Struthio camelus: one gene and its partners. The protein of the gene in region 3 interacts with the protein of the main gene of each other region in a biochemical or structural test. Links are inferred from orthologs where the notes say so. Each region holds a gene or a part of one and is shown on either strand. Other genes may lie near its edges.

Region 1 (7,685 bases), on a different chromosome or scaffold from region 3:
CTACTTCATTTTTCAGTCACTAGAAAATCGCTGTTTCCCTCCCTTGGTTGCACCCATGGTCTAAGAGATATTGACCTAGAGAACAGTACAAGGCTCTCCACAGTAAGAGTGACAGTCTTTGACTGTGTTCCTCTGTCAGAAAAAACGTACAGGCACATTTACCAACTTTAACAAACCCACAGCAGCAATTCAGTACTGTGTGGAATAGAGGGAATCAAGCAATACAAATTATTTGGCTTTTCCAAAGAAAAGAAGCCTGACAAAAATACTCTACCAGGCAGAAATACAGACAGGATGCACCAGAAGCTACCTATAAAAACTGAAAGCCAATTCACCTCTATTCAAACACTTCAATCTTAATACGAACATTACAGATAACCCATAGACACCTAGCAGCATTACAGAATCACACAAAAAGTGCTGAGAACAAAAAGATTAACATGATTAGTTATTCGCTTTATGAGACAAATTATAAGTTTTAACTTGGAGTCAAAACGACCAGTAACATGAAAGAAAGGCTGACTTTTGAACTGATCCCGATTCTTTAACGATGCAATAAACTAAAGATAGCTTCAGTGGGAAATGGGCTGTTTGTAGTGAGAGCAGGTATTAATAAAAGCCTGAATCTCCAAGCACTGTTGAAGCTTGACACATACTTCCTGTATGACAGTACGAAAACATCTGAGGAACAATGTTGGAAACCATAGTTGTGAATAAGGTATGCCGATGACTCACACGTCTCTTGGAAATCCAATATATTTCTGTTTGCATGTGGTTTCTTCACACTAACACAAAACAATCATGACAAACTGAGGTCTCCAGAACAAACTCTCCTTATTTACAGAGTGTGGGACTCTCTCCTTTTGAGGGAAGGAAAAGAAGTAGTGGCACAGTAATTTTTCCTTCTTTCAGTCAAGCCTCAGTCCATTGTAATCTCATCATTTTCCTATTTAGATTATTTTCATTTAAGAAATGTGTTAAAAGGTTCTCATCTAATTAGCTATTTATTACTCTCACTGAGCAATGAGAGACTCACTTCACAGTCAAATAATATCTTTCCAAAATATTCTCAGGATTGTTTTTCCCCTCCTAGCATGCACTTAAGTAGAAAGCAGTTTACAATGAGTTTCAGATAAAGCAATAATCAGATGATTCAATAGAAATCCCTGCCATGAAAAAAGCTTGTTATTTTTACACAGTTTCTGTAGATATTCACGCAACTAATCATCATCCAGGGAGATATTTCATTTTAAAATTCTGGCCAATTTAAACTTTCTATTCCAGCATGGATTACTAGCTGACGTACAAGAATCAATCCCTAACCACCCTTCAAGCTTATTCTTGATTTGAAATTAAAGTAATCCTGAACTACTAAGCTGCAAGCAGTAGTTTTACTGAAAACAGCAACATTTCTTTTTCAGCATTATTGTCAGAGCTGTCTGTTTGCATTTTCTGTCAAGTGTTTGTCAGGTATTATAGAGCAGAACATCCAATACAATAGTTAAGGGATATTTAAGTAAACCATCAATAACAGGTTTTGTAAAAGAACATACTGCTCAGGAAAGACGTCAGCTACACAGTAGCAGCAGATGAAGTTCTTAAACACAGAAGACGTGTAACACTGAACCGGGCAGCAAAAGGCTGCTACACTAGCCTGTTAGCACACCTCAGTTTAAATCAGCATTGACTAAGGAATAAAGAGACAAATGTAGTCCATTCAGCCTTTACCTTCCTACTGAAGCTGCCAAAACACGCGCTGACTGCGGAAGCAGCCCTGGGAGATGTATGCCTCGCCCTCCAAAAGGGCTTCTTTAACGTTAAGTTGTACCACTTCAACCAATTATACTTTAACCACTGCGTTGCCACTGTCCACTTTTATGAGCCATTACACTTCCAGACTCACTACACCAAAGTAAATAAACCTTTATCCTCTCACAAAAGCCTCATGTGCCATACAGGAAAATCGGGGAAGGAGGCCTTCACACCTCCAAGGGGTGCATTAACAAGCAACAGTTACCTTGAAAATAACACTAATAAAAAAACGTAATTTTTCTTTTTCTCCTATCAATTCACTTGAACCCCCAAAACCGCTACAGAAGGCATCCATTTTTGACAAAGAGGCATTTCCCAGCAACTCCTGGCCCCCGCTACCAGATTCCCAAACGCCACCGCTCCCTTAACCCCGTTTCACAGCGCATATTAAGACGAGTCCCTAAACCCACCTCCCCCTTTGCCCACCCACCCCCCCTCACTTCCCCAAGACCGCGGCGCAGCTCGCTGCGTGTCATACGCCCAAAATAGCTGTCACCTTTTAGCACCGGCTGGTATCAGCGCGGCACAGCTACGTCCAGCACACGCAGCATCTCTCTCGCCCCGTGCCCGGTTACACCCGGGGCTCGGGTACGAGCTGGCGGCCGCCCCCCCCCCCCCCAACCTCCCCGCCGCCCTTCCTCCTCTTCCCCCTCCGGTTTCGCTGCTTCGCCGAGGAGCCCCCGAGCCCCGCGGGGTCACTCACGCTGCCGCCCCCGAGGAGGCCCCGGCCGCGGGGGGCAGCTGGGCCGAGGCCCCGCACACCGGCGGGCGGGGCGGCCCAAAGTTACGGCGGCAGGAGCCGGGCCGAGCCGCGCTGCGACCCTTCCCCCCACCCCCTCCTCCCCCGGCCGCCGGTACCGCGGCGCGGGGAGGGCAGAGGCCGCGGCACGGCCGGGCCCGTCCCCGCCGCAGGGGCCTGGCCGCGGGCAGGCCACGCAGCTGCAGCCCGGCGCGGGCCGGGCCCGCTCTGCCCTCACAGCGCCGTAAGGTCAGCGGCAGGGACGCGGTGCGGATGGCGCCGGCCGGGCCCCGGCGCAGGCGGGCGGCGCCCCGCGGCGCAGCGGGCCGGGCCGAGCCGGGCCGGGCTCGGCTCTCACCTTGGCGGCGCCGCCGGGCTGCAGCACGTTCTGCTCCACCGTCATGGCCCCGCGCGGCTCCCGGCTGCGACCCGGGCTCGGCGGGCGGGCGGCGGCGGCGGCGCCGTGCGGCAGCGGCTGGGCCGGGCCCGGGCTGGGCGAGCGGAACAGGAGGCGGAGGAGGAGGCGGAGGAGGAGGAGGAGCCCGAGTCACCGCCAGGCGGGCGGGCCGCCGAGGCGGGCGGCCGCCATGGGGCAGCGCCGAGGCGCTCAGGCCCCGCTCTCACGCCCAACCCGTCGCCGCCCCGCGCACCTGCCCCTGCCCCGCCGGCCTGGCTCCGTTCCCCCGCTGCTCCCCGCCTAACCGGCTGGCGGAGGTGGCCGCCGCCGCCGCCCGGCTTCCCCCGGGCAGAGCGCGGCAGCCCGGCCGCCCCCTTCCTCCCCCTGCGCGGCCGCCTCCATCTTGGCGCCGCGGGCCTGGCCCCGCGCTGCTAACAGAAACCGGGGGTTCAGAGGCTTCTCCTGCGGGGCGTTTGGGTGTCTAGGGCCGCCCGCAGGCGTCGCTGCCTGTTGTGGTGACGCTGTGGCGCTAACGCCCGGCAGGGTCAGCCGGAGCGCGGGCTGCGTTTGGAGAGAAAGTGAAGTTTTCCTGAGGTGGGGGGGGGGGGGGGGCGGCGGCAGCTCCCTGGCCCTCAGCAGCTGCTCGGGGCGGGGGGATCCCCCTTCTCCTCACAGCAGCGGTGACATGGCGGATCATTCACTCCGGCAGAGAAGCTGGGCCCCCGGGGCACCATCCCTCCCCACTTGCTGACCTCTCCCTCCGGGGAAAGGGGCCGTGGGGTGCCCGAGGCCCAGGGCGTCCCGGCTGGCCGGACCGGGTGGGCCAGTGTCTGCCAAGTGTCAAGTCCTCCACGTTTCTCCTTCAAGAAGCGGGCATGTTGTAGGGAGGCTGTGTTTTACCAGAAGTTTCTGACCCGTTCCAGCACTAGTTGCTTGTATCCACAACAAAGCTGAAACAGTGCTCGAAGCTGAAGTTGCGTTTCTTCCCCTTTCCCTCCCCGCTTATACGTTTAGCTCAGCGAGCTGTGAGCGATCATGCTCAGCGCTCACAGTAAGTGGGAATGTCATTAACTGCTTCACTGCTAACGAATCATGTATAGGGAGGATTTCAGTTCTCAGCAATCCACAGTGAATTCTGGCACTGCAAATAAGTGTTACTGGGAAAGCTACTATCGTTTTTTTATTCCAGTCCGTGGAGTCAGGACAAGGGAAGGAAAGAGCAGAGTTTGGAGGATCAAGGGAAGTCTGTCGTAGAAAGCCCAGAGGGTGTTCAGGTCGGCGTGAAGCCAAGCTGCCTTCCTCGTGTTGCAGGCCGCCGGGACGGGGTGTTTCTGGTGGCTGATAGATGGGGTTGGCTCTGACAACAGCTGTTCCACCCGCTGCCAGATTCTGCCTGCAGACTCGCGGGGTGCCCCTGCCCCTGCCGCTGCCGCTGCTGCTGCTGCACATGGCTCAGGCTTGCAGTTCTTCTTCCCAGGTCATGAGCTGGGCTAGGAAAAACCAACGACAACCAGCCCCCTCCAAACAAAAAAAAAGTTTCACTAAATTCTGCAGCACATGGTTATTTTGGTTATTGTGTGTCTAAAACACATTTAAATGGAGCCAGGCGCCAGGATGACAGAAGAACCCATCTCACATTTGGAATACCTGCACTACATATGGTATTTGTGTCCCGGTTTGGTTTCTTAAATTGATGAAGCTTACAGCAATCTGTAAGAAACGCTGACCAGAGCAGCGCAGTAACGATAACCCTGCGTACCTCAAAATCCTGATTTGGGAGCCTATCTCAACAAACTGAATTGTCGCTCCTACTCATTTGTCACACAGAGCCTGAGCCTTTAAGATTCACTAATTCTTTTTTTTCTCCCTCAAGACAGAGAGAGAACTAGTCTTTCTAAAGCTAAGATTGTCAGGTAATAACATCACTGCAAGATCTTGGACTAAGAAAAATATCAGATATCGCACAACTCCTGACAACGCGCAAATGCTGCCTTACTGCACTGTACCTTCTGTGCAGGAGATGTGGCATTTTGATCAATATTTGCTCCTCTGAGGTTCGTAGCTCATAGATTGTATCAATTTTAATGCTTTTGCCTTTTATACATGAAGTGGACTAAGCAATTTTTAAAATTAATGTTCCCAAATAATTTATTGTGCAAAAGACAAGACACTATGCAAATAATATAACGAGATCTGAAGTGGCTTGCAAATTACTTTTCTGAGTGCAAATTTTATCTGCACTCAGACTGGTGGCTACATGTGAGATTGGTAACGATAGTAGTTTGTTTATTTAAGACAAGTTTTCTGTTGTGTTGCTGTGCCAGAGTGCCAGACGAGCTTCTCCGCCCTTCACTTCCAATATATAGTCTTGCATCAGTCCATGACCTTAAGTATATTGGCATGTAACCTGCATTAATTTTTCTGATACAATTTTAACAGCTTCTTCTACACTGTATTTTTGATGTATGCTGCACTACTCGAGTAACGTTCAGATATGAACGTGAAAATACTTGAATACTTTGAAAATACTTGTTTCAATTTAGCATTTTTTCAAAAATTTACTGTTATGTCTTGCAACCGCGTGTTCAAGTCTTGGCCGTGTTTCATGTAACTCCGTGGAAAAATTTCCCTGACAGTCAGAATGGGTCCAAAAAGAACGTATTCAAAATCAGTTTTACTTTTTGCCCAATCCTAGCTGAAATCAGGATGAGAATGTCTTTTCTTCCCTCTCGCACCCCCCATCAAAACAATCACTTTTAAAGGCTCCTCCTTTTCCCACTTCCTTTTTTTTTGTTTTTGTTTTTTTCCAAAATGAGGCTGAGCAATCCACTCCTGAGGCAGGCATCTATCACTGAAGTACTGACATAATCTGAAACACGGCACTGCAAGTTATGATCCTGTAGTACATATGGTATTGCTGAAGAACAGACGGAATTGAGTTTCATGTTCCATTTGCAACACAAGTTCTATATTAAGTACATTTAGAACGAAACTAGAATTCATACTTCATCAGAAAACAATAAGGATTTTGTCAGGGCCACAATTTCCAAAGAGCTCTTGACTTGATGATAGTAGTATTCCTTCGTGTCTATAATATAATAAAGAATTACCATTACAGAAAAAAATGAAAAAGAAGATTACTTAGTTTCTAGGGATCCGATCCACTGTTCCTTTTCTACCCTCAACTCCCATGGCCTGGAACCCAGGTGACTTCTGTGTGCATCTAGCAGAGAATTAGGCATGGCAGGGCAAGGTCCAAAAGCTGTCATACCTGCAGCGTTAGAGCACAAAAGGAACCATGTAGGAGACTTTCTGTCTTAGTTTTGTAATTTCTTCTAATGTCCTACAGAACTGTGCCTTTAAAGTATTGGTTCTGAGACATGCCACCTTAACAGAGCCCACAGTCTTCAATTTCTGAACTCCTATTGCTAGTCTGCAGTGATCATTCAGCTGTCCTGCTTCCAGAGCTGCAAGCATTTTCTTGCTAGTCTTATTGATGATACCAGTGCACAGAAAGAGAAGTGATCATAAATGGAATTTTTTGGTTCACAGAAAAATGAATGCTGCACGATCCCATTTGCTTATGAGCCGCAAGAGCTGAAATAATATTTCTCTTATTTTTTGGTTCCTGTTGCTTATGTTATTCGTTACAAGTTACTTAAATAGTATAAGCCATAACTATATATATATTTCCCTGGAAAGTCATCCTATTTCCAGTTAGAGGCTCTTCGTTTTTTAACAACCTTACAGGGTTTCACCGTTAAACATTTGGCAGCTGTGCTGCTTAATTTCTCTAGGGAGTCTTCACCTCCAGGTGCTTGGTCCTGTCTGCAATGCTACCAGCGCTTGCGCGTTCACATGGTGAGCAGCACTGGAGAACTGATCCACCTGAAACATAACTACAACTTCCCCTCCCCCCAAACCAGTTATCTTTCTGCTAGATCAGTTCCCCAAAATGGTTCAGTGAAGAGATGTACGAACAGCTGTGCTGACCCAAAAGAGAAAGTGACACAGGCTGCGCAACAGCACACATCAAGCTTCGTTTCCCCTCTCTCTTAAATCAGTAAGTGATCCTGCCTTCCTGAGGACCGCCTGTTGGATAGAAAATGTGTTCCTGCTCACAGTCCGCCTTGTCTTCCCATTTTTATGAAAGGAAAACAAAACATCGGCCAACCACAAAGCACTTTAGCACGTGTTTTATTGTATACAAAGATCATGTACGAGAAATAGCTCATTATTTCCTTCAATTTTCAATAGGCTTGTTTTTGTCTTTAATTAAATGCATCGTTTATTTGGGACCTTAATTATACTATGGCTCTATGGGTTACAGCTGGGGAAGTACAAGTCAGGACTTCTTGGTTTTCTTTTCCCAAAAGTGTAACCTGTTATATCGGCCATAACAAAGCACTGCTTTAAAACCATCAGTACAAATATAATGCTGTAAATGCTATCAACACAGAGCTTCTGTAATTAACCCTGGAAAAGAGTTTCTCTAGACTCCCATTTCTAAAACCCATTTTGGAACATTTTTACCTAGGCCCTTTTGCTTTGCAGAAAACAGTTTAGCCATTTGAAACAAGACCACCACCACTCAGGAAGCTTCTAAAGCGAAAGACGTTTTAAATCATCATTTAAAAGTTATTCTCTGTGTCACTGTTACATGTTGGCGCATTGCTCTGTGCTTGCAAAATCTTGTGTTGCTTATTCCCTGGGGAAGCCAAAACAAAAACTTAACCA
Region 2 (7,492 bases), on a different chromosome or scaffold from region 3:
TGCTTTTACAATGAGATACAGATGGTAAAAATCTTAAACTCCTGGCTAGTAAACTAAAAAGGGCTTAGGGGAGATGGACAAGAGAATTCAGTTGCCGGAAGGGAGCACAGATTTAAAAATAAACTGAAGAGAGCCTTGAATAATGCCAGGCTCCAGAGAAAGGGCTGAAGTCTGGAAGACCACTAGAGGATCTCAGAGGTGGGCCAAACCTCAGAGAATGTAAACCTATGCGCTAAGCTTCATCTCTCCTTAAAACACAATTCCTCTGCAGTGATTTATCTGCAGAGGGAACAGAGTGGAAAATGCCAAGGACATTACACCCACTTTGCCCTCTGTATGTTGCACTCAGCTTTGCCATTTGCTAGCTATGGCCTGAAACTGCAGGATTACGCATGTGCTATTTTATAGTGCATATGATGAGTAGCCACACTGAGGGCAGCAGCACCGTTTACATGCATCCTGCTGAACGCAACAGCGGGTCAAAGCGGGACCAGGGCCTGCGCCCCTGCGTTCATTCACCTGAGCCTGGGGACGTGGGTCTTTTTGCCATTAACACCTTGCCTGGAATGCTGGGAAACGGCACAAATAAAAAGCATTTCTGGAGCTCAAGTTCTGCGCTGTTCCAATTCACCCAATTACAATTATCGGATCCAATTTCTCCACAAATACTGTTAACATTTTGACACTTGATAGGGCTCCCATTGTAGTCATGCTTAGGTCACACAGAGTTTTAGGGGAAGGAGAACAATCACACCATAAAGCAGTATCAAAATTTGGACGGGCCGCTGCTGGAAAGATTACAGACACATACTAGCTCCAGAGAATTATGTTCTTGCTGTGGCTGGCTGCCAAGAAGGTGCCAGTTCCCAAATGTCTTACTATTCCCAGCAGAGGGAAGGGGGCAGGACTCTTAGGCCACTTCAGCCAGCTAAGATCTATATTCCAGCCTGTGGGAAAAAATATTAAACGCCAACAAGGACACAAATCAGCTTTGGAATTAGTTACCAGGGGCAATTTCATATTCCACAGTCTGGTGGGCAAAGGTGGTTACACACTCTGACTCCTAAAAACGAGAAAAAGAGAGTGGAGGGAGATGAAACCCCATCCAGCTGTGAGCACTGGTGCAGCACTACCATGTTACACGCTCTCCGCTCCCTCCTCCCCTACGAAACCCCAGGAGCATCTCGCAGCTCCCCGGCCCGCTATACCATCGTCTTGCCCCAAGATCTGCCTCAAGCTTCATCCCCTCTCCAGCCTACCGGTTATTTTCTGCGCTCTCCGCACTCCCCTACCTCATTCGAGGGTCTGAACTGCTCCGTTTCTTGGCTCTCCCTTCCTTCAGGTTTCTACTTCTTTTCTCTGAACCTCCGTCGCACGCCTGAGCCCCCCAAAATCTTCCAGCCCCCTCCTCTTTGCAAACAGCACGGGAGGTCGCTGCCTGATTCAGCAGCCTCATCCGCCGCTCAGCGTGCCGACGTCCAAAACCCGACCCCCTTTCCTACGTGACCCTCTCGCCCGGGCGGTCTCTGCGCCTGCCTCCGCAGCCCCCCGCCGCCCTGGCCCCAGCCCCCTTGCCGCTCAGCCCCACGGTTTCCTCGTCCGTCCCCGTCTGTCCATCCGCCTCTTCCCCCGGCGTTGCCCGCTCTCCCTCTGCACCCCTTCGGACGCCCCCGCTCCACTGTAGACCCCCACGGCTGAGCCCTCTGCCCCCCCCCCCAGCCCCCAGCTCTTCATCCCCACCCCGCAGGACCTGCAGCCCTGCTGCCCCACAGTCCAGCATATCACCCTACTCCACCCCCCCAACCCTTCCCCCAGCCCCACGCATTGCCTGAGCCCTGAGCCTGGGGCGAGCCTCAGCATCCGGCCCCTCATTCTGCCAGCCCCGCTGCCCCCTGCTCCTACCCCATAGTCCCCCCTGCCCTGCCCCATGGTCCTGCCCCCTAGCCCTGGTCCACAGCTCCCTGGACCTGCCCCACAGCCCCTCTGGTTCCTGCCCCGCAGCCCTACCCCACAGCCCCCCCTGGTTCCTACACCTGGTTCCTGCCCCACAGCCCCCCTGCTTCTTCCACTCAGCCCTGCTCCGCTGCCCCCCTGCTCCTGCCCCACAGCCCCCTGTTCCTGGCCCCTGCTCCTGGCCCACAGCCCCCCGGGTCCTGCCCCACAGCACCCCTGGGTCCTGCCCCGCTGCCTACCCCACAGCCCCCCTGGTTCCTACGCCTGGTCCCTGCCCCACAGCCCCTCCCCGCTCCTACTACTCAGCCCCCGCCCCATAGCCCCCGGTTCCTGGCCCCTGCTCCTGCCCCACAGCCCTCCTAGTTCCTGCCCCAGCCTCCCGGGTCCTGGCCCCTGCTTCTGCCCCACAGTCCCCTGGGTTCTGCCCCATAGCCACCCCGGGTCCTGGCCCCTGCCCCTGTCTCACAATCCCCCGGTTCCTGGCCCCTACTCCTGCCCCACAGCCCCTGGGTCCTGGCCCCTGCTCCTGCCACTGCCCCGCAGTCCCCTGGGTCCTGCCCCATAGCCCCCCCGGGTCCCGGCCCCTGCCCCACAGTCCCCTGGGTCCTGGCCCCTGCTCCTGCCCCACAGGCCCCTAGTTCCTGCCCCACAGCCCCCCGGGTCCTAGTCCCTGCTCCTGCCTCACAGCCCCCCGAGTCCTGCCCCATAGCCCCCCCAGGGCCTGGCCCCTGCCCCTGCCCCAAAGTCCCCTGGGTCCTGCCCCACAGCCCCCGGGTCCTGGCCCCTGCTCCTGCCCCACAGCCCCCCGGGTCCTGGCTCCTGCTCCTGCCCCACAGCCTCTCGGCTCCTGCCCCCCGGCTCCAGCCTTCCAGCCCCCTGGCCCCACACGGCCACCGCTGTCCCTCTCGCACCCCCAGAATGCCTCACCCCCAAGCCTCCCCGCCCGGCACCCCCACCCCACCCCACACCGCCGCAGCCCGGCCCCGCGGCCCCCCCGCGGCACCTTCAGCTCTGCCGCCTCCGCCATCTTGGGACATGGCAGCCGCGCGCCAGGGGCCGAGGCAAACTCCGCGCCCGGCCGCAGCCGCACGGCGCGCGGGGGAGGGGGGGCGGGCAGGGAGCGTCGCGCAACTCCGCCCCGCCGCCGAGTGGTCCTGCCCGGGGCGACCGGCACCGCTAACTAGTCATGTCCGGGGGCGACCGGCACCGCTAACTAGTCCTGGCCTGGGGACTGACTGGCACCGCTAACTAGACCTCCCCAGGGGTGACTGGCACCGCTAACTAGTCCTGCCCGGGGCGACCGGCACCGCTAACTAGTCCTGCCCGGGGGTGACCGGCACCGCTAACTAGTTCTGGCCTGGGGACTGACCGGCACCGCTAACTAGACCTCCCCAGGGGTGACTGGCACCGCTAACTAGTCCTGGCTTGGGGTGACTGGCACCGCTAACTAGTCCTGCCCAGGGGTGACTGGCACCGCTAACTAGTCCTGGCCTGGGGATTGACCGGCACCACTAACTAGACCTCCCCAGGGGTGACTGGCACCGCTAACTAGTCCTGGCCTGGGGACTGACCGGCACCGCTAACTAGTCCTGGCCTGGGGATTGACCGGCACCGCTAACTAGACCTCCCCAGGGGTGACTGGCACTGCTAACTAGTCCTGGCCTGGGATGACTGGCACCGCTAACTAGTCCTGCCCGGGGGTGACCGGCACTGCTAACTAGTCCTGGCCTGGGGACTGACTAGCACCACTAACTAGTTCTGTCCTGGGGCTGGGGCCTCACCAGTCCCACTGGTTAGTCCTGCCCAGGGCCTGACCAGTACCACTAACTAGTCCTGGGGCCAGGGGGCCACCCAGCCCCGCCACCCCCAGGGTGCCCTATGCCCCCGGCGCTAGGTGGTGGGTGCAGCCGCCCTGGTCCCCCCGGCCCCCCCATCCCCGTCCCCATCCCCGTCCCCATCCCCATCCCGTTCCGGAGGAAGGCAGCACACGCAGAGCAGCTTTTCCCGTTTAATGGCTTCGGGGCACGTGCGGGATCCGTCCCGGCGGCGTCAGGCGTCCCCCGTCCGCAGGATCCGCAGCAGCATGCCGTGCACCACCTCGTCCATGAACCCCTGCCGGAGCAAAGCTCAGCCGGGACCCGCTGCACCCAGACTCCGTCCCAGCCTCCAGCGCTGGCTAAAAATTGCATTTTGCAGCATTTCAGCCCAAAACACCCTCCAGGGCAGAGATGCCTCCGACTCCTACCTGGGCGGCGTTGAGCAAGTGGGTTCTGTAGATGGTGACGATGTCCTGGTGGTTTTTCTGCTGGAGCTGGTGGGAAAAAAGGAGGTTGGAAGCAGAGCCGGGGCAATGCCGGTGGGCGATGCCGGTGGGCGATGCCAGGCAATGCTGGCGGGCGATGCCGGGTGCCGGGGACCCACCTCCAGCCGGAGCTGCAGCCGGACGCTCTCGCTGCGGACTGCCAGCACCTCCGCTGAGAGCTTCTCCATCTCCGCCAGCAGCTGCTTGATCTGGCGTCAGGCAGCAGGGAGCAGAGTTGGGAGCCGACGGGGAAAAACGGGGGGCTGGCTCCTGCCCCGCTGCTACCCCCGGGAGTTGTCTCAACCCTCCTGCCTGCCCCCCCCCCCCCAAAGTTGGCTGAGAAATGGGCGCTTTGAGATCTTTTTGCACAACGGGAAATTCTCGCTCCTGCTGGGTGTTAGGCATTTCCATGGATCAGGTTGGCTTTATCAGGAGGAGATAGCGATGGGAAGGGGATGATGGTGGGAAAAGGATGGTGTTGGGAAGGAGGAGGGGATGGTGATGGGAAGGGGATGTTGGCGGGCAGGTGATGGCAATGGGAAGGGGACGGTGATGGGAAGGAGATGGTGTTGGGAAGGGGATAATGATGGGAACGGGAAGGTGATGACTATGGGAAGGGGATGATGATGGGAAGGGGATATTGATGGGCAGGGAAAGAGATTATGATGGGAAAGGGATGGCAATGGGAAAGGGATGGCAATGGGAAGGAGAGAATGAGAAGGGGACGGTGATGGGCAAGTGATGGTGATGGGAACGGCGATGGGAAGGACATAACGATGGCAAGGACATACCGATGGCAAGGGGATGGTGATGGGAAGGGGCTGCCTCCTCCTGTTAGCCTTGTGTGTGGGCCCTGACTCTTACCTTCCCCTCCTTGTCCTGGCAGGCCCTGGCGAGCTCACCCACTTTGGCGCTGAGCTTCTCCACGCTCCTCTCTAGCCCCCGCGATGTCACCTGCAGCTCCCGTGCCTCCTGCTCCCGCTCGGCTGCCCGCACCTCCAGCTCCTCCTTCGCCCTCCTCTCGGCAGCCGCAGCCTCGGCCCAGCGCGCGGCCTCAGCGCTGGCTGCCTCCAGCTCCCGCCGCAGCGCCCGGCTGCCCTCTGGGATGTCTGGGGTCATCTCCTCGCGGGAGCGCAGCGCGGCCCCTGCGGCTGGCCCGTCTCCGCCGTCCTCGTCCCAGCGACCGCGGGGGTCTCTTTCACCCGGCGGCCGCGGGGCATCCCCGAGTGCCTCGCCTTCGCCTTCCATCTGCGACACGAGTTGCAAGGCCTCGTGCTGCGTCCTCACCAGCCCGTCCAGCTTGCAGTGCAGCTCCTGGAGGATGCAGGCGCCAGGGAGCTGGTTGCCGGCCTCTTCCTGGGCCTGGGCGCCCAGGCTGTCTCGCAGCACCGCCAGCTCCCGCCGCTGTGCCGCCAGCCGCCGTCTCAGCCGTGTCGTCTCCTCCTGCTCGGCCTCCAGCGCCCGGGCCAGGGCGGCTGCCCGCTGCCCAGGCCCCTCGGTGGCCGCCGCCGCACTGGCGTCCCGCTCTCGCAGCCCACGCAGCTCTTCCTGCAGCCGCTCACGCTCCCGGCCCAGCTGGGCCAGCTCGCCCAGGAGCCTTCCGTTGCTCTCCTTGAGCTCCAGCACCTCCTTCTCCAACTTGGAGCTCCTGGCCCGCGGCCGCTCTTCGGCCTCTCTCTCCAGCGTGCGTGCTTGGCTCTGGCTTTTTTCTGCCTGGCTTGGATTCACTTCCTCTGGCTTGGCCCTGCCGTTCTCTGGCGAGCGGGAAGGCGCTGCCCCGTCGAGCGGCTCCTCCAGCTCCCGCTGACTCTGCAGGGCCCGGAGGGTCTCCAGGAGGGGCCGGGATCTCCGCAGCAGCTCGGCATGACTCTCGTCGGCGTGGCTCAGCGCCTGCTCCAGCCCCAGTGCCAGCTTCTCCCAGGCCGCCAGGCTTTTCCGGACGGCGTCGGCCGACACCACCTCATAATGCAGTTTGCTCCTCAAAGCTTCCTCCACCTCCTTCCTCAGTCCCTTGCTCCTGGTGAAGACGGTGAGCTTCTCCGCCCGCAGTTTGGTGCAGGTTTCCTCCAGCCAGGAGAGGAACAGTGCCAGAGGTGCCCACAGCCGCTGCTCGTCCCCGTCAAGCTGGGCCTGCTCGGCGGCGGCGATCGTGGCTGGTGGGTTTTCTGAGTGGTCCTCGAGCTCCCGTAGCCTCCTGCACGCATCCTCCCGCTCTGGCTCACCTTGCTGCCGCTCCTCCTCTTCCTCCGGTGCCGCCAAGCCTCCTGCCGCCTCCTCCTTCCTCCTCCTCAGCTCCCGCAGGTGCTCGGCCAGGAGGGTCAGGCAATAGTCATCCTCCGGCTCTGTCCCGGCTTCACTCTTTGTCCCCAGCAGCAGCTGCTCCAGCTCTCGCACCCGCTGCCAGAGGCTGCGCGCTGTTGTCCGACGGGCGGCCGAGAGCCACTCGCACTCCCGCACCTTTGTCACCAGCTGCTGCTCCAGCTGCAGGACCTTGGCCCGCTCGGCTTCGCAGCGGCACCGCCACTCCTCCGCGTCACAGCCTTCCTCCTCCTCCTCCTCCTCCTCGCTGTCGTCTGTGCTGTTGCAAGCTGGGGCCGCCTGGGACACGTGGGAGCAAGCCACGGCGTGCGTTGAACAGGAGTCGGAGGCCACGGGTGCATCGCGCAGGGAAGTGGCTGCTGGCTTTACCTGCATCTCGGCATCCCCAGGACAACCAGCTCCTTTCCCTGCTGGCGGGAGAAGAAACGACCCGCGAAGGCTCAATGCACCACATTTCCAAGCCATGGGCAGCCAAGGGCAGAGCTGTGGTGCCCCTGGCAATACTTTTCCCATCGGGAACTCAGAGTGCAGTGCAGCGGGGATGGGGCGAGCCACCTGCAGGGCCACCCAGGCTGTCGGCATGGTCTTGGCTCTGCTGCAGTGCCCGCTCCACAGAGCAGTGGCCGTGCGAACTGGGCTCCCCGCAAAGCAGTGCCAGCCAAGTCCCGCAAAGCAAAGCCAAAAGCAGCTGGCGGTGGCCGTGCAATGAGCTAAGCCAGCAGGCATCCGTGGAAAAGCTCCCTTTTTGCCTTTTCTAATAAAATAAGCAACCAATATCCTGGCTGAGCAATGACCAGGGAGTGGAAAAGGGGCCTTAGCGGGATGGGTTAGGGTGCAAAGCCAGTGGCAGCAGGATGTGGCGGGGTGCAGCAGGATGTGTCACCTGCCGTGCCCTCTCCTCGGCTTGGCACCCTGCTG
Region 3 (7,425 bases):
TTCATATGGACGGCTTGCACAAATAACATTTTTGGTCTGTATGTAGGATTACTAACCTCTAGGGATGCAGAAGAGATTCAGATCTCTACAAATCCAAACTCTAACTTTTATAACTGCCTCCTGTTTTGCTGTTGCCCAAGGAATTTATCAGAACATCCCATCTCTTCACATGAAATTTCAAGTCAGTATCTTATTCTGCTTTGCATAAGAATTAAACTGCATACCAGCGTATTGTCCCAGCAGTAAAGGGCTTCATAGCAGTTTATCCAGTTCTGTGCATTATAGCAGATCTACCTCTTATAGCTTTCCGTAACAAATCACTCTGTACAAGGTATGACAAATCATCATTGCTACTATAACAGCACCTCTAGCCAATATGAGTGGAAAGCAATGATTCATAATGTTTGATTCCTACCCTTGGGGACAGAGAACTCACGTACTAGACACCAATAGGGAAAGGAGCAAACAGTAGAAAGTAGAGGCTTAAAACATCAGCCTACCATAAAGGTGCATGTTTAAAGCCCCAACAACCCCTCGTCCATGAAAAAAAAAAACGCAAAGAGTAGAGCTGGAATTTCAGGAAAAAAAGAAATAGGATCAAATCAGCATTGAAAAAGCCAGTAATGGTAGTTAAAAAAAGCAGAAGATTTGAAAACAGAATACAACAAGACTCAGCAAGTCTAAAACAGCTCCCTGCATTTTGTCAGTGCTAACTATACTGCCATTCAATGCCAAATAGAAAAGCCAGCAGAAAAATACTTAAGAACAAAGGAAGCAAGTAGATTGCAAAGTTACTAAATTACGAGCATCCATTAACAAAATCCATGATCCACAAGCAAACATCCAGATTTTTAGTTGAACTGCTAAAGAAATGGTTACATCAAAAAAACCCAAACACCACAACACCCCAAGTTTAACTTTTCACTAGACTCCTAAATTTCTAAAGGCTTCATTCCACAGTTTTCCTAAATAGCACAAAATAAGGTCCCTAATACTGTCTCAATTATATTAACACCGCATTCATGACTGCAAAGCACTCAAAGTTCCCTGGATGAAATGCAACCCAGCGTGCCAGGTATTTGCTATTGCCACTAATGGAACCACAAAATAAACATTGTAAGGCAACTTATTGCAAATTCCCTCCAACAACAAACTGTATCTACTATTATTCTGAAGCATTCCAACTTCACTATCCAAGCCTAAAAAAGGCCCTGCTCAGCATACTTGAGACCATCTTTTGGCATCAAAATTGCAAGAGGAGGAAGATTACACTGTGCATCCCCAGCTCAGCAAACAAACTCTTACATTTGTGACAGGAATAGGAAAGTATGTACAATTGTGCCACAGCATTTCCTATCCACAGTACACAAAGAGATAAAAATGCTTTCATCTAGATGGAATGAGAATAAGAACAGCCTGAGACTTCGGGGGGGGGGGGGTTACTTCTCTTTTTCCCCTTCTGCTGCGATCCCACCAAGCAGCCACGTGGTTCTAAGAAGTTTACCCTTGTTGCTACAGTTTTTTTTTTTTAAATCGAGTAAGTTAGTTTGTAATTGAGAATAAAGAAACTAAACCAACTATGCATCTTTATCTACATAACAAGAAAAAAGAGCTAGAATTATAACTACTGACAGAGATCATCCTCTTAACATCTTGATTCCAGGACCAAGAAGGAGGCTATTGTAAACAACCTACAACTTCAGGCAACCTGATTATTCCAGTAGCATTGATAAAGAGAGAAATGAGATCTATGGTTAGGCGATATTCACTTTATGTTATACTGTTACTTGTACATCTGTTTAGGTCTTGTTACACAGTCCCTCTACCCCAGCAGTCAATGCCAAAACATATGATAATGTTTAGCACAGGCATTTCCAAAGGAAAAAAAAAAAAGAAAAATAGGGCCCTTATCCAATGCACCTTCTGGGATATGTGCCTCTAAGACACATATCCAATAAAGGCTTTCACATACAATGAATTTTACATACTTCAAGCAGTCCCAAAGAAGAATGAACATGCATACACCTTAGCAGGACTGGACTGGAGAAGGAATTACTTAATGAATGCTGTTATGTGTTAAAACGTGCCTCATCAGTTCACAAACATGAGCGACAGAACAGGCCACATAAAGAGCAGTCCACAGAATCTCGTTCATAATTTGATTTTTTTTTTTTCTTCCTTTTCTGCAGACACTCGCCTGCCTGTTACCGCACTGGAAACGCGTCCTGATGAGAGCTAGCGCTCGCCGCGCTCTCGCAGGCAGAGCCAGGCAGTAACACCACCAAGAGTTTCATTGTGCTCCAAAGTCGGGGGGGGGGGGGGGGGGGCACGGACCCAGCTCACACAGCAGTGACTTCTGTTCGCGGGTCACAAGGTGCCAAGGCTACTCCTCAACGGGGGCAACAGCATATCCTAAGATTTACCGTGGTTTCGGAATAATTTTTCAGTTCATGACTTGCATTAATACTACCCTTGGCTTCCCGGCACGGCAGGAAACATTCGCCGGCGCTGCCGTTGATTTCCCCCGAAGTCAAACCGCCGTGACAAAGCTGTCACTTGGGGGGGGGGGAGGGGGGCAACGCGTGAAATAAGGGCACGGCGGGGAACAAAACCACCCTGCCGTGCCGCGTTAACTCCCGGCCGGCCGACAGCTCACGCCGCCGAGCGCGGAGGGCTGCGCGCCGCAACGCCCGGCGAGCCATCCCGCCCCGGCAGAGCGACCTGCCTCACGGCCGGGACAGCGAAAACGAAAGGAAAGGGCCTCGGCGCCGCGCCGAGCCGCCCCGGGCCGGGCCGCTCCGCGCCCTCGGGGCTGGCGAGCAGAGCCCGGCCGAGGCGCAGGCCGGGCCGCCCGCCTCCCCCCCCCCCCAGCCCCGCCGGTACCTGGTCAGACATGGCTTCGCCCCCTCGCGTGCGGCAGGCTCGGCTGGGCCGCGGCAGGCGCTCCGCTCCCTTTCTCTCCGCCGCAGCACAAACACAGGCCGCGGCGCGGGCGGGATTTCCTGTGCGCCTGAGATCACTTCCCGCCCGGCCCGGCCCGCTGCCGCCGCCGCCGCGGCTCCTCCCCGCCCAGCCCCGGGCCGGGCCCTCGGCGCGCCCAGCCCCGGCCGCCGCCCGCCGCCGCCGCCCGCCAGAACCTTCTGGAAGCCGGGGCCGGACGGGCCGCGCGCCTCGCTCTGCGCCGCCGGCGAGGAGGGCCAGCGCCGGGGGGGGGTCGGGAAGCGCCCCGAAATTCTGCGAGTTTCCGTGGATTTCTGAAAAACTCAGTGAATTTCTAACCCACCCTACTTGTGTTCCCCCCCCAGCAGGGGATTCTCGTCCTGATTCCCCCCAGAGAAGGTTTTAACTCCAGTCAAGGAGAGGCAGAAGCGTTTCCAGGCGCGAAGGGCCCACCAGCGCCACCGGGGCTAACGAAGCCGACCCGTCGGGGAACGCACGCGGCCATCGCACCAGGCAGGCCTGCAGCGGCCAACCGAGCCGCACAGAATTAACGGGGGAGAAGGCGTTAAATAAAACGGGGCGACGCACTCCGCGGAGCCAGGTGACGAAGGGGAAGATGACCTCCTCCTCGTCACCAGGTCAAGAGCACTGCAGGAACCACCACCGAGAACCATTCGCAGCCTTGGAGCAACCCAAGAGGTGAACAGTGGAGATGACAAACACTTGATCCTATTGCAAACGCCACTGCTAGCAGTAAACAAAAGGACAGGTTTAAAAGCAGGGAGGTTAGCCCCACGGATAGAAGGTGACAGTTTTAAAGTTCTAGCATAAAATCTGAATGCAATTCCTAGTTGTACCCCTTTTCCTATGCATTCTATAATAAGAGTAACATGCAAATCACCAGTTATCCCTCTTCCCCATGCATAGCACACACAGTTGAAATTTAAATACCACTATTAAAACTTAATAACAATACCCCTCTTTATACACTTTTTATTCACTTCGGTTACAGATATGTATGTGCTCAGGGTACAAGCTATATTTGCACAGCACCTCCCTAGCAGCTAGTCTCAATTCAACCTATAAGGGTTACAAAAGTCACACGTTTCTTCTGTTACAGCCCAAACCCAACATGCAGCACCCTTAAAGCCCAACAAAAACATGCTTTTAAAAGACTAAATATACATACATGAGCTTCTTCCTACAGAACTCAAAGTAGCCCTTGCTGCTACAGCTGATGTTGAGACTACTTTACATCCACTAATAACTTTGTTTAATCCTCAGGTATTTTATAACTTCTCTAATTTCCCCATCTGCAACTAATCTCAATCACCTGAAGTTAATAAATTTCACCTCCGTTCATTCAGCTTGCTGCTAATTAACTTGACCAATGTTGTGTGGAAAGCAGAGGAGCTGTTAGTGTTTTTCTGGACAGCGTTAGCCTACCTAGCCTGCACAAAGCCTCTTCAGCCTGCAGATAGTTTTCCTACAAAACAGGGCTTTAACCTGAGAACAATCCATAATCTCGTAACACTAGTGTATTTGTTCGAGAGCAGCTAGTGCTAGCAGTAAGTATTAATATGCCTTATTAAAAGGAAGAAGGTAAATCATGTTTAATCTATAATTTGTTCTTTGGGACAGTAACCCCTGGACGCGCTGGAGGGCGCAGTGCGACGAGGCGGCAGGCGGCAGGGCCGGGCTGAGCTGCGGCTTCCCCGGAAACACCGGATCCTGGGCAGGCAGCACCGCGCGGGGAAATCGGGAGCCTCGAAACGCCTGTTGTAAATGCAGCGAGTTTGGCGTTCCGTTGTCAGAAGGGAGCAGCTGTCGGACGCCCGCAGCGGCACCGAGCTCTGAGCGCCTCCCCCCTTCTCCTCGGCCTAGGCGGAGGGCGGGCAAGCGCCGCACGCAGCCGCCGCGTCCACACCGGGGACTGGGCTGGTTTAACTCTGCTCGCAGAGGAAAGCGCGCGTTCACGAAGGCAGACCGCAGCCCTATGCCGACGTGCGCGCAGACGAGGCTGGGGAACGAGGCTCTGTTTACGGCGGAGCGGCAGCCTGGCCGGGAACGCGCCCAGACCTGTCTCCCACCCAGGGGACATATTTCTGCTGTTTCCGTGCGCCTTTTTTCCCCCGCCTCGGTCAGCGCAGGGAGCGGACACCGACGGTGTGCGGCTCCGTTCCGGCCGACGGCCCGCAGGACCCAGCAGCGCCGGCGCGGGGGGCGGCCCGCGGCCCCGCCCCTTCCCCTCCCGTGACATAACTTCCGCTGTGGCTACTTCCCGTTCCGGCGCGCGCGTGTGCTGGGCTGAGGGCTGCCGTCCGCTCGCCCACGTGGCCGCGCGCGCCCTCCCCACCCCCCCGTGAGCGGCCGTTGGCCCCCGCTCCGGCCGTTGGCGCCGCCGCCGCCATGTTGGTGCTGTTCGAGACCGCCGCTGGCTACGCCATCTTCAAGGTGAGGCGCGGGGGGGGGGGGCTGCGGGCCGCCGGGGGTCCGCGCCTCGCTCGGCCCGAGGCCTTGCCCGGGGGGCCTGACCCGCTCGCGGGGGCGGCCGAGCCCCCGAGCTGCGGCGCTTCGGTAGCGGTCCGCGGTGTGGCGTGGCGGGAAGTGCCCGCCCGGCTCAGGGCCCGGAAGGCTGCTCTTTTCGCAACACTTTCGTCTTAAAACGCCGCTCGGGGTTTGTGGCGCTGGGCTGATCACCGCCAAGGGGAAAAAAACGAGTTATGTGGACCGTGTTCGGGGAGGAGTGGGTTGCCGTCCTGTCTGCGGAGCGCTGTGTGGTGTGTTTCCGGCGGAGGGTAAGTTAACGGAAAGGAGTTGTGAGAGTTGCAACAGAAGTAAGATAGCTTTAGGTATTGTAATTAACTTGTGGCGGAAACGTCAACGGGGAAGGAGTGTGCTCAAGTCAAATGGTTTTTCAAAAAGTCACTTTACACGTCAGCCTTGTTTGGTTTCCTTGTGACATACACAGTAGGAGAAGGAGGGAGGTGAGACATGAAGCTGAAGAGTGAGTGCTGTAAAGAGGATCTCGGGTAAGAAGGAGAGGCACAGCGCGGGGAAAGATGGCTGCAGTTGTAGTAGTGTCCTGGAAATGCAAAGCCTAAAGGCACTTGAGAGGGAGAGCTTTCTCCATGGTCCCATCAGGGATTGCACATGGCTGTTTCTTTTTCTTCCACCAGTGAGAACAGATTTGGTGGGAGAGAAGGTACCTGTCTTTGTGCCCTCCTTGAAATCTCTGGAGACATCCTGTCCTGGGGAAAAGCATCTTAAGTGCTTTCCCTTATTTCTACTGAACTCATTTTGCTCACAGGCTAACAGCACCTCCTGGTTGTAAGGAGAGGTGCATGGGAGCCATGCAGCATGCTAAGCAAATCTGCAGGGTGCCTTGACCTGCGTGTGTTTCTGTCAGCTCTTTGGCAGACTCAGCACATGGGCCAGATGAGCTGGCATCAGCTGCCCACAGGTGTAGCACATGCTCTGCCTTTCTTGCTGTGTTGAGAACATGGGGCTAGGAGGAACAGACCACAAGTCTCTGGCAAGCTCCTGATGTGTTGGTTCAGAGGTTGCAGCTCCATGATGGTTTAAATGAGTTGCTAGAGCTGCTTTGGTGCTGTGTGCCCCATCATCTGTCTTTTCTCTTGCTTTGGATGTTGATGCTTGTACAGTCTCATGATGAGATTGTTCATGGAGTTTGATGACAGCACTTGCTTTATTTCAACCTAGCTTAGTCTTTTTTGGGTTTGGCTTGTGCAAACACCAGTGCAGATACAAGGAGAGCAAGGCACTAGTTTATTTTACCCTAACTTATAGAACTGCATCGTTGGGGCTCTACAGAGCCCTATGGTTCCTTGGTCTACCCTGAAACCTTTCCTCCTCTTTGAGGTGTAGCTGCGCAGTTCAGGCAAAGAGGGTTTTTAAGACTAATCCTCATGTAAAAATGTATCTAAAAGCATATTACTTCCATTTTCATTCCTGCTTGCAACTGGGGAACTAAAGTATATCACTGTCTCCCTGGAGGTTTAGATCAGTGGCTGTTCACACTAGCTAATATACTGCACCTTCTGAGTTTCTTTTAAAAAAAAAAAAGAGGGAGAGAGAGAAGGCAGTATTTCCAGGTAGGGTTGAACCTCTTGTGCTGGGAGCCAAGCCCTCTTTTAATCTTCTACAGAAACCAGGAAGGGCTGAAAATAGCACGTTTGAATCCCTGAAACCAGGATAGATATAAAGCAAAAGTAGGAGGAGGAGCATAAAGAGAAATGAAGAAGTTTCTTTGCAGGAGTGCTGCAACACTCAGTTGCAGGTGTCAACAGCTGGGATTTGGGGTCTGGCTGTGATGTGTATGCGAAGCGGCTAGAGGGCACTAGGCACCAAGAAGCAGTGTTTAAATGTGGTCTTCTAAACGCCTACCTCATGGGCAAGAGAGGAGCGCGAAGGACGTCTGGGGTGGAAGCTGTTTGTTGGAAGTGAGCATAAATAATATTTTAG
Region 4 (7,409 bases), on a different chromosome or scaffold from region 3:
ATCAGGGGAGAATCACATCCAGAGATGTGCTTTTTCTAACTTCTCTGTAATGACCATCATATCAGAAGAATCCAATGATCCTGAAATCAATGGCACTTGCTCTTGTTCTCTCTCTCTCACACGCACCCATGTGCATTTTATCCATTCCAGGGACTATTAGCAGGTTCCACTTTAAGCAGGGAGATAATCATTCAAAATCCCAGCTCAGGTCATCAATTTGTTCTTGTAGTGGAGGGAAGGAGAGTGAAACCAGTTTTGCATCCCCCTGTGAGGAATCCGGGGAGAAAAAGCAAGCAGGAGACCCTGAAGTGCTGGCCAGATGCCAAGGAGAAGTTCAGAAGGTTTGTACTATGCATCAACCATTTGAAAACAAAGGCAGAGGACTCAGAAGTTTGACATTTAAATGCCAAGCCCACATTGTTTGCAGCAGTGAGGAGGATATCCCAACCATTTGAGGCAAATGTTCAGCAAAACCTTCAATGTTGTTTTTAGTTAAAACATCAGTAACTGTATATATGGAGAAATTTAAACAAAGCTTTTTTTGCATTCTGTAATTAGAGATACAAGTCCACATTATTTACGTTTAAAACTGCTGACCTGTATGCAAAATTGCTTTAAGTTGTTTTGAAAGTGTATAAAACTGTATATCACTGGGTTTTAATCCAATGGGGTTTTTTGATTAGCATATACATTAATTACTTAAAAATATCCTCATGACATTTGTAGTTAGCAATTTTATAATCTGCAACAACATTACTTAACCACTACCAAAAGCAACCAACACAACTGTTTCTCACATAGACACTGAAGCTCTCTCTTCCCCAACAAGCTTAGGAAAAATAACTTTTCAGTAGTACTGCCTCAGATAAGCAAGGCAAAAAGGCAGCACAGGATGCAGATGCAAACCAAAACACAAAACATACCCATAAGTTATTAATTTAAAGGACAGACAGTGCTTGAAAGGTACTTGGCTGGAATTTCAGCTTCTTCCATTTTCCTACCCTGACATTCTGAGAGCCCACAAAGGGGAAAAATACCATATTGTATATAAACTCCTTAAGCAATAAGGCATGACAGAGTGTGAATTATGATCTCTTAATTTACGACTGGTTTGTCAGGCATGAAGCTGACAGTAAAGTGTTCTTACCATTTCTAGGAATAAATGCATACTGTAACTCCTTCATTGGAATGTCTTATTGAAATTATACCATTATTTTTTGGAGTATTTATAATATAAAAGTGATTAGACACATTCTGACTACCCAGTTATCCTGCACCGCCAGCACCGCCTGGAATGCTTATTAATTAATTAGATTTTAGACTAAAGCTAAATATATATAGTATACCTCTTAAAAGAGTATCTGAACCATAAGCGACACTTCATTTTATTCCAGAGATTATCAACTGCTCTCTCTCTCAACGTCTCAACTTTAACAGGTTAAAACAAAAAATATGCAAACAACTGTGCAGGTGATCACACTTCAGAAGTTTACAGACCGCTACTCACACGCCTCTCCTTCATCCCTGTAGCAGACTAGTCTATTAATAGAAATTACCTGCTCGTTGCTGTTTAGGAGTGTTCTCTTTCACAAAGCACAGTCTCCTCACTCACTCACCCACCATCCCTCCATATCTGCCCTTACAAATACCCTCCTCCCCCTACTAGCTATTCTCAAAGTGATTCTTTTCCAGGGTTTCAAAACAGCAGAACGTTCCAACATGCAAGCAGTCCCTCCAGAAATCTACCACACTATTGTATTTAAGAGTATTAAAAGTTAACCACACTCTTAAGTGTTATGCGGAGTCAGAGCCAGAAAAATCACACATTGTTATATAACGCTCAGTAAGCGTCAGAATATTCTCAGCAGCTACACAAGTGTTTTATAGGTTAATACAAGAGTTTAAAAGGAAAAAAAAACCAAAACAGTCAAAACAGTAGAAGAACCACAAGTGTTCCTAAACTCAGATGTTAGAACCATAAGGGATCACAGCAAATACCTAGTCTGACATTCTTTCACAGCACAGACAACTAGATTTCTTGGGTTTGATGGACTTAGGGTTTGGGGTTTTTTTTTAATTACATTCTTTAGTTTAACTGCCTGCTTTCAGTAGTTCATATTTTCTTTAAGTTCTCTTTTTTCCAAGGTTTAGTTTGTTTCTTGTCAAACTCACCCCTTAAACATAATGGAACTTTGAACCATACTTAGTAGCTCAGCTAGAGCAACTAATGAGCGTTACGTAAGATGTCTCTCCATGTGTTGTAGAACAATCTGTTCCAAAAGTTACCAAAAATAGCAATTCTCTAAACAGTGGCGTGATGCAATATTTAACCAGATAGTACACTAGCAGCTGAATTCATCCATTACTCCTAAAAAGTTTTCAAATATTGTTATTACAACGTTTGCAGCCTTACCTAGACTTGTAGGTTTTATCAGCTCATCCAACAAGTCATAAAAAGGTAATTTCTGAAGTTTGATGTCGGGATGGACAGGGTGGAGCGCAGATGTAAGATGGGGGAGTTCCAGTTCATGTTTAGGTCCCAGAAGTGAAACGGGAAGCAATGGTGATGTTGCGGGGTGGCCATCATAGCTGAGCTGTGGAATGGTAGACGGAGACAAAGTTGCTGGCATGGAACTTGAGTGTACACTGGGGATAGATAAGTCTGCAGGCGTCATGATTTTCTGAGGGAACCTTCGCCTATAGAGTTCTTTGATTTTCATTTGTACAGCGGGACTGCAGCCAGCCTTTAATAAATGCAGTGCTTTTGTGAGAAGTTCGTGTTTTCGTCCGTGCTTGTTCCTCCCCGCGTAACCCAGAAGTACTTGCAGTTCAGAAACTCTAAGGCTCATAACCATTTGCTTAAAAGAAACAAAACAAAAAATTAGTATTCAAGTTACATCATCTTACACACTAACATCAGAATGTGGCTTAATCCTGGTGAGCATACAATTTTTAAAGGCATACCATTACTGCTCTTCTCCCACTGATGATCTGAAATACAACATAAAACAGGACTTGTTCACACATAGATATATTGACTTTGAAAGTCTAATCAGCAATTTTTTAAAGGAATTTCTTTTGCAATAGGTAATTCAGGACAGCAATTCTGAGGTAAAAATTTGAGACAAGGACAAGTTGCCAGTACAAGACATAAGGCTTTTAATGTACCAATGTTCTAATCACTGCTCCCCTAACACCTACAACATTTAACAAGCTTTATGACTTCCAGCTAGAGGAATAAAAAGTTACACATTGACAATACCCAAGTCTCCAGTACTTGCACTTAAAAACTGCAGCAACCCTTCACTCTGACACCCTACTTCACTTTCAAGTCCCTCTCTCACTTTTTGCCAGGCAGTGTAACTAATCAGTCAGCACAGGTTCAAAGGAAGGCAGAGAAGTGACTGATGTTAAAGACACTTAGAAAAATTGTAATCTGATTTTTTGCAAGTCCATATGATCATTACTGGGTTAAAGGAAACTTCTTCAGATCCAATCTCCAATATAAATTAAGCAATTTCCTTACTCATCCCTCTTCTCTCACTTCACAGCTGCTTGTCCTGTTGCGGATGGGGGAGTTGGGCTTTGCCTTCCATTAGTTACCACGTGTTTCTACACGGTCTGTCTCCCAATATGGCCTAATGAATCACACTGTAAGACATCTAGGCTGTTTCACTTCTTGAGGAACTGAGGAAACAAAACTAGGCAAAGCAGTGAAACCAGCAATCATCCGCGTGCGCTAAAGTACTTCCCCACTGGTCAAATAGCGGCCAAAAATTCAACTTAGGAGCCTAGTGTCTCTTTTAAAGCTTCTTTCAGTGCTTGACAGGGACTTTTTTTTTAACATTGCAAGGCCTGTGACATCAGCTGAAGTGATCTTTCTGTACAGTTTTGGATTCCCAAGCAGTCAAAGAAAAATAAAACGCCCCCTACCCACTACCACAACTGGTTATCTAGGACTTCTGCACAAAACCATTTAAAAAACTCTGAATATTTTATAGTCAATTCCAAAACAAATTCAACATCATATTTGAAGCGTATATATAGGACCAACATAACCAATTAGGCATATCGAGGTTCTGCAACTTCCCAACCACTGAAAGCAGTCTAAAGATTACTCTTTTCTATTTGCTGAATATCCAAACCAGCACTTGCATTTGCAAAAATGATCTTTAAGATTAAAGAGTACAGATACTCTTATCCTCTCCAGTTCTCCAAACTGTTTGAAATATTCAGACACATACATTACCCAAGTTATTTTACCATTAACTCTAAAACCTAAAGTGATAATATTGGAAAGTATACTACCATGCTTTAGCAAAAACCACCATAAACTCCTATCAATTCCTCAAACCTTCAGCACCTGCAGGAGATCGACAAGGGGGTATTCGCAACAAGCATTTCCAGACACTGAAACAGATCGAGTTATTAAAAAAACCCTCAAACTATATGATTCATGTATTTAATGAAGTATGCAACCAGATCATTTTAACTAAATTTGCCACAAAATTTCTGCTCTGTTGACTGAACCACATGAATAGAACCGAAGAACCTTGTGGCAAATTTTAGATACATATTGTTGCAGAATACCACAAACACTTTAGATTTAACACAGTTTTGCTGGCACCTTTTCTCCAAGTATCCTGAGAACCTGCTTCACACTTTCAGCTCCAGGACTGTCATGGATCTACTAACTAGAACAGATGAGGTATTTCAGAAGGAAAGAAATGTCTTAAAAAAGTAAGGCATTTCAGTTACAATCTGAAGTGTTGACAGCTGAAAAGGAAAGTGAAACAAATAGATCTGAAACACGGAAAAGCACTGTTTCTAATGCTTTACAAACATTCAACAGAACACGTAGTTACCGCTGAAAGGCTTATGCCTGCTACCTTCCCTGTTAACAGTCATTTCCTCAGCAGCCCAAGTCTCCTGGAGCTTCCCTGCGCTCTCGCTTTGTTACAACCCTACAGGCCCAGCTTGCAGAAAATGCAAACGAGCAAGAAATAAATGAGCTAACTGGGAAACTTCTGCTACAGGTTGGATAGTTTCCATTTTGAAGTTACATGCAAGCTAGAAATAAGTATACAAAAAACTGGGTCCATTGTGTAGCCAGACTTGTGAACCAAAATAAATAAAATTCCTCAGATTTCTCCCCTACTCTGAAAAAATTCCTTAAAAGGAAGAACGAGAAAAATTGTATTTGCCACATTATGGGCACTGATACATCAATTAAAAATGCAGTCCTGAAAAAAGAGCAATAAAGTTTTGCTGTTTTATTACAGTCTCATATTTTACTGACAAACCTTTCTTACCCACATAAAAAGAAGGCAATGCCTTAACCCTCCCCGCCACACACACACACACACACACCCCTCTACAGAGTTTTGCCAGTACCGCATGTCAGTCAGTGCTGCGAGGAAGTAAGATCCTGACAGACAGCCATGCTGGCAAAAGTCTCTCATGTCGCTGCAATCCGAACGTCTCCCCTCCTCCAACATATCTGTGTTTTATTTGAGGACACGACGCAGCTATACCAGCAGCGGTGCAACTGCCAGCGCAGGCGCTGTCCACGCAAGAGCCCTTGGCCCACACTGCGCTGCTGTCCTAATCTTAGGACAGGCCGTTTAATTATAGCAGGGAAAGAAATTAAGCGCTGTCAAACACAAAGTAAATGGGGGAGGGGGGGAAGCAGCAACTATTAAATTCTTTTCTGTCACACCTCGCCTCATCACAATTCAAACGCTCTCTGACTTAGCTATACTAGCAAAGCTGAAAGGCAAAGATGCAAAAAAGCACTTTGCATGAGGAAAACTTCCTGCTTTTTTCCCTGTTGGCCGGAGCAGTAAGATCAGGGACATCAGCACGACTGCACCTTCAGCAAGCTACAGAAGCCACCATCAAAAGTTAGTCCCCAAACAACAGCAAAATAGCCCTAATGGTCTCCAGGAGGGAACCGCCCCGACCTCTGGCTGTTTATCAAAACAGGCAAAATAATTTTTTATTTCCTTTTGCATTAAAAAAAGAGCAAACATAAGGTTAGTTCAAATTATATACAGATCAAGGGCAGACTAAAGGATAGTTTGCAAGCTGCACTTACAGGTAACTAGGTGTTTAGTTACGCTTTCAAGTACCAGGAAACGTAGGCCCCTCCAAACATCACAGTAGTGTATAAGATACTGAAGTTACCTAGCCAAAAAAAGATTAAACCACTCATTACAAATAATTTTGGTGTGACAAACAAGCTGTGATTGCAAGGCTCTTTCAGATGCAACAAACGCCAGTATCAAACAAACTAGTTTGTTTTGAGGATGATGTGCATTTCGGTATGTCGTGCCATGTAGGTAACATCTTAAATATAAATCTCTCTCTCTCTCTCTCTCCCTTTCAAAGAGAGGGCAAAGACACTAGAAAGATTGTTCAAAGAGTAGAAATAAGCTTTATAGAAACTTGACTTTTCACAGTTCCCCAGAGGATTTCTCTTTTGACTCACTGTAAAGACCTTCATGGAGCTTAGACGGTAACTTTAATCTATAAACATAGAACTGACATTTCCTGCTGGACGACGCAACCCAAACACGTTTATCGACCAAAGTTACATTAGTCCTGAGGATTGCCTGTCTCATTATGTACGCTTCCCCTCCAACCCACAGCCCTCACCCAGGTCTCGTGACCACAGCTCACCTTCCCCAAAGCCCACAGAGGATGGTGCTGCCTGATGACAGGTGACTGGATTGTGCGCGGCAGCCAGGAGCGGCACCGAGGTGTTCCAAGAGGCCACGTTAACGTTCCACACTTCCCAAACCTGTGTCACTTCCCGCCCCACCAGATCGCATCAGCCCAACCCTTTGGTTCAGCTCGTGCTGCAGCCACGTGAGCAGGTGCATCCCCGCATTTTTTCATTGAGGGAACACACCTCCAAAACAACCCAGCTGGAAACACGGACACTTCCTTTGTCCGCCTACTTCAAATAATCAATAAGGGGAAAAAAGCTTAAAGATGTAAAAGCATTCCAGGAGCAGCATCCAAGGGAGCTCCCTTGGCTAACACATCACGCACCTACTTCTCTCCTGTAACTATCAGTATGAAAAGATGTTCTACCTACAGCTGTCTCTTTCAACAAAATTGCTTTTTCTTAAGTAAAATTGATGTTTATCTAAATATAAGATATAAAAATTGTGTAAGCCCCCAAAACAAAAAATAGTATCTAGCTACATTTGAGATAAGAAGGAACTAGAGCTTTGTCTAAGACTTCCACAACGGGACCACAAACCAAAAAGCGTCATGTGACGTCAGTGCACATGCCATAGGTCTTGGCACACCAAGGTCTCTCAATAAACAAGCCTGTCAGGCTGGAGAATTGTATCCATGCCACACAACAGAATTATTTTGCTCTGTAAATGCTACTCAGG

The links.
Region 1: the proteins of SUMO1 (region 3) and USP25 form a complex in vitro, tested with the Homo sapiens proteins (2 studies listed by BioGRID). The link is inferred for Struthio camelus from reciprocal best matches to the Homo sapiens genes SUMO1 and USP25.
Region 2: the proteins of SUMO1 (region 3) and PIAS3 form a complex in vitro, tested with the Homo sapiens proteins (2 studies listed by BioGRID and IntAct, with this or other methods). The link is inferred for Struthio camelus from reciprocal best matches to the Homo sapiens genes SUMO1 and PIAS3.
Region 4: the proteins of SUMO1 (region 3) and PIAS1 form a complex in vitro, tested with the Homo sapiens proteins (6 studies listed by BioGRID and IntAct, with this or other methods). The link is inferred for Struthio camelus from reciprocal best matches to the Homo sapiens genes SUMO1 and PIAS1.

What each region holds. Positions count from the first base shown.
Region 1 is NC_090942.1:113,035,130-113,042,814, reverse strand, and holds the start of USP25 (ubiquitin carboxyl-terminal hydrolase 25), read right to left. Parts: upstream 3,043-7,685; 5' UTR 2,955-3,042; coding exon 2,910-2,954; intron 1-2,909. UniProt on the Homo sapiens protein: Deubiquitinating enzyme that hydrolyzes ubiquitin moieties conjugated to substrates and thus, functions in various biological processes including inflammation and immune response.
Region 2 is NC_090971.1:3,179,927-3,187,418, forward strand, and holds the start of PIAS3 (E3 SUMO-protein ligase PIAS3), read right to left. Parts: upstream 3,043-7,492; 5' UTR 2,981-3,042; coding exon 2,957-2,980; intron 1,411-2,956; exon of another isoform or gene 1,293-1,410; intron 1,064-1,292; exon of another isoform or gene 1,021-1,063; coding exon of another isoform or gene 1,006-1,020; intron 1-1,005. Other genes in the region: ANKRD35 (ankyrin repeat domain-containing protein 35), read right to left, coding at 4,003-4,065, 4,199-4,264, 4,375-4,464, 5,120-5,698, 5,735-6,984, 7,458-7,492. UniProt on the Homo sapiens protein: Functions as an E3-type small ubiquitin-like modifier (SUMO) ligase, stabilizing the interaction between UBE2I and the substrate, and as a SUMO-tethering factor.
Region 3 is NC_090947.1:9,968,863-9,976,287, reverse strand, and holds the start of SUMO1 (small ubiquitin-related modifier 1), read right to left. Parts: upstream 3,070-7,425; 5' UTR 2,896-3,069; coding exon 2,884-2,895; intron 1-2,883. Other genes in the region: NOP58 (nucleolar protein 58), read left to right, coding at 5,664-5,738. UniProt on the Homo sapiens protein: Ubiquitin-like protein that can be covalently attached to proteins as a monomer or a lysine-linked polymer.
Region 4 is NC_090953.1:2,280,402-2,287,810, forward strand, and holds the start of PIAS1 (E3 SUMO-protein ligase PIAS1), read right to left. Parts: upstream 3,043-7,409; 5' UTR 3,028-3,042; coding exon 2,965-3,027; intron 2,859-2,964; coding exon 2,414-2,858; intron 1-2,413. UniProt on the Homo sapiens protein: Functions as an E3-type small ubiquitin-like modifier (SUMO) ligase, stabilizing the interaction between UBE2I and the substrate, and as a SUMO-tethering factor. Catalyzes sumoylation of various proteins, such as CEBPB, MRE11, MTA1, PTK2 and PML.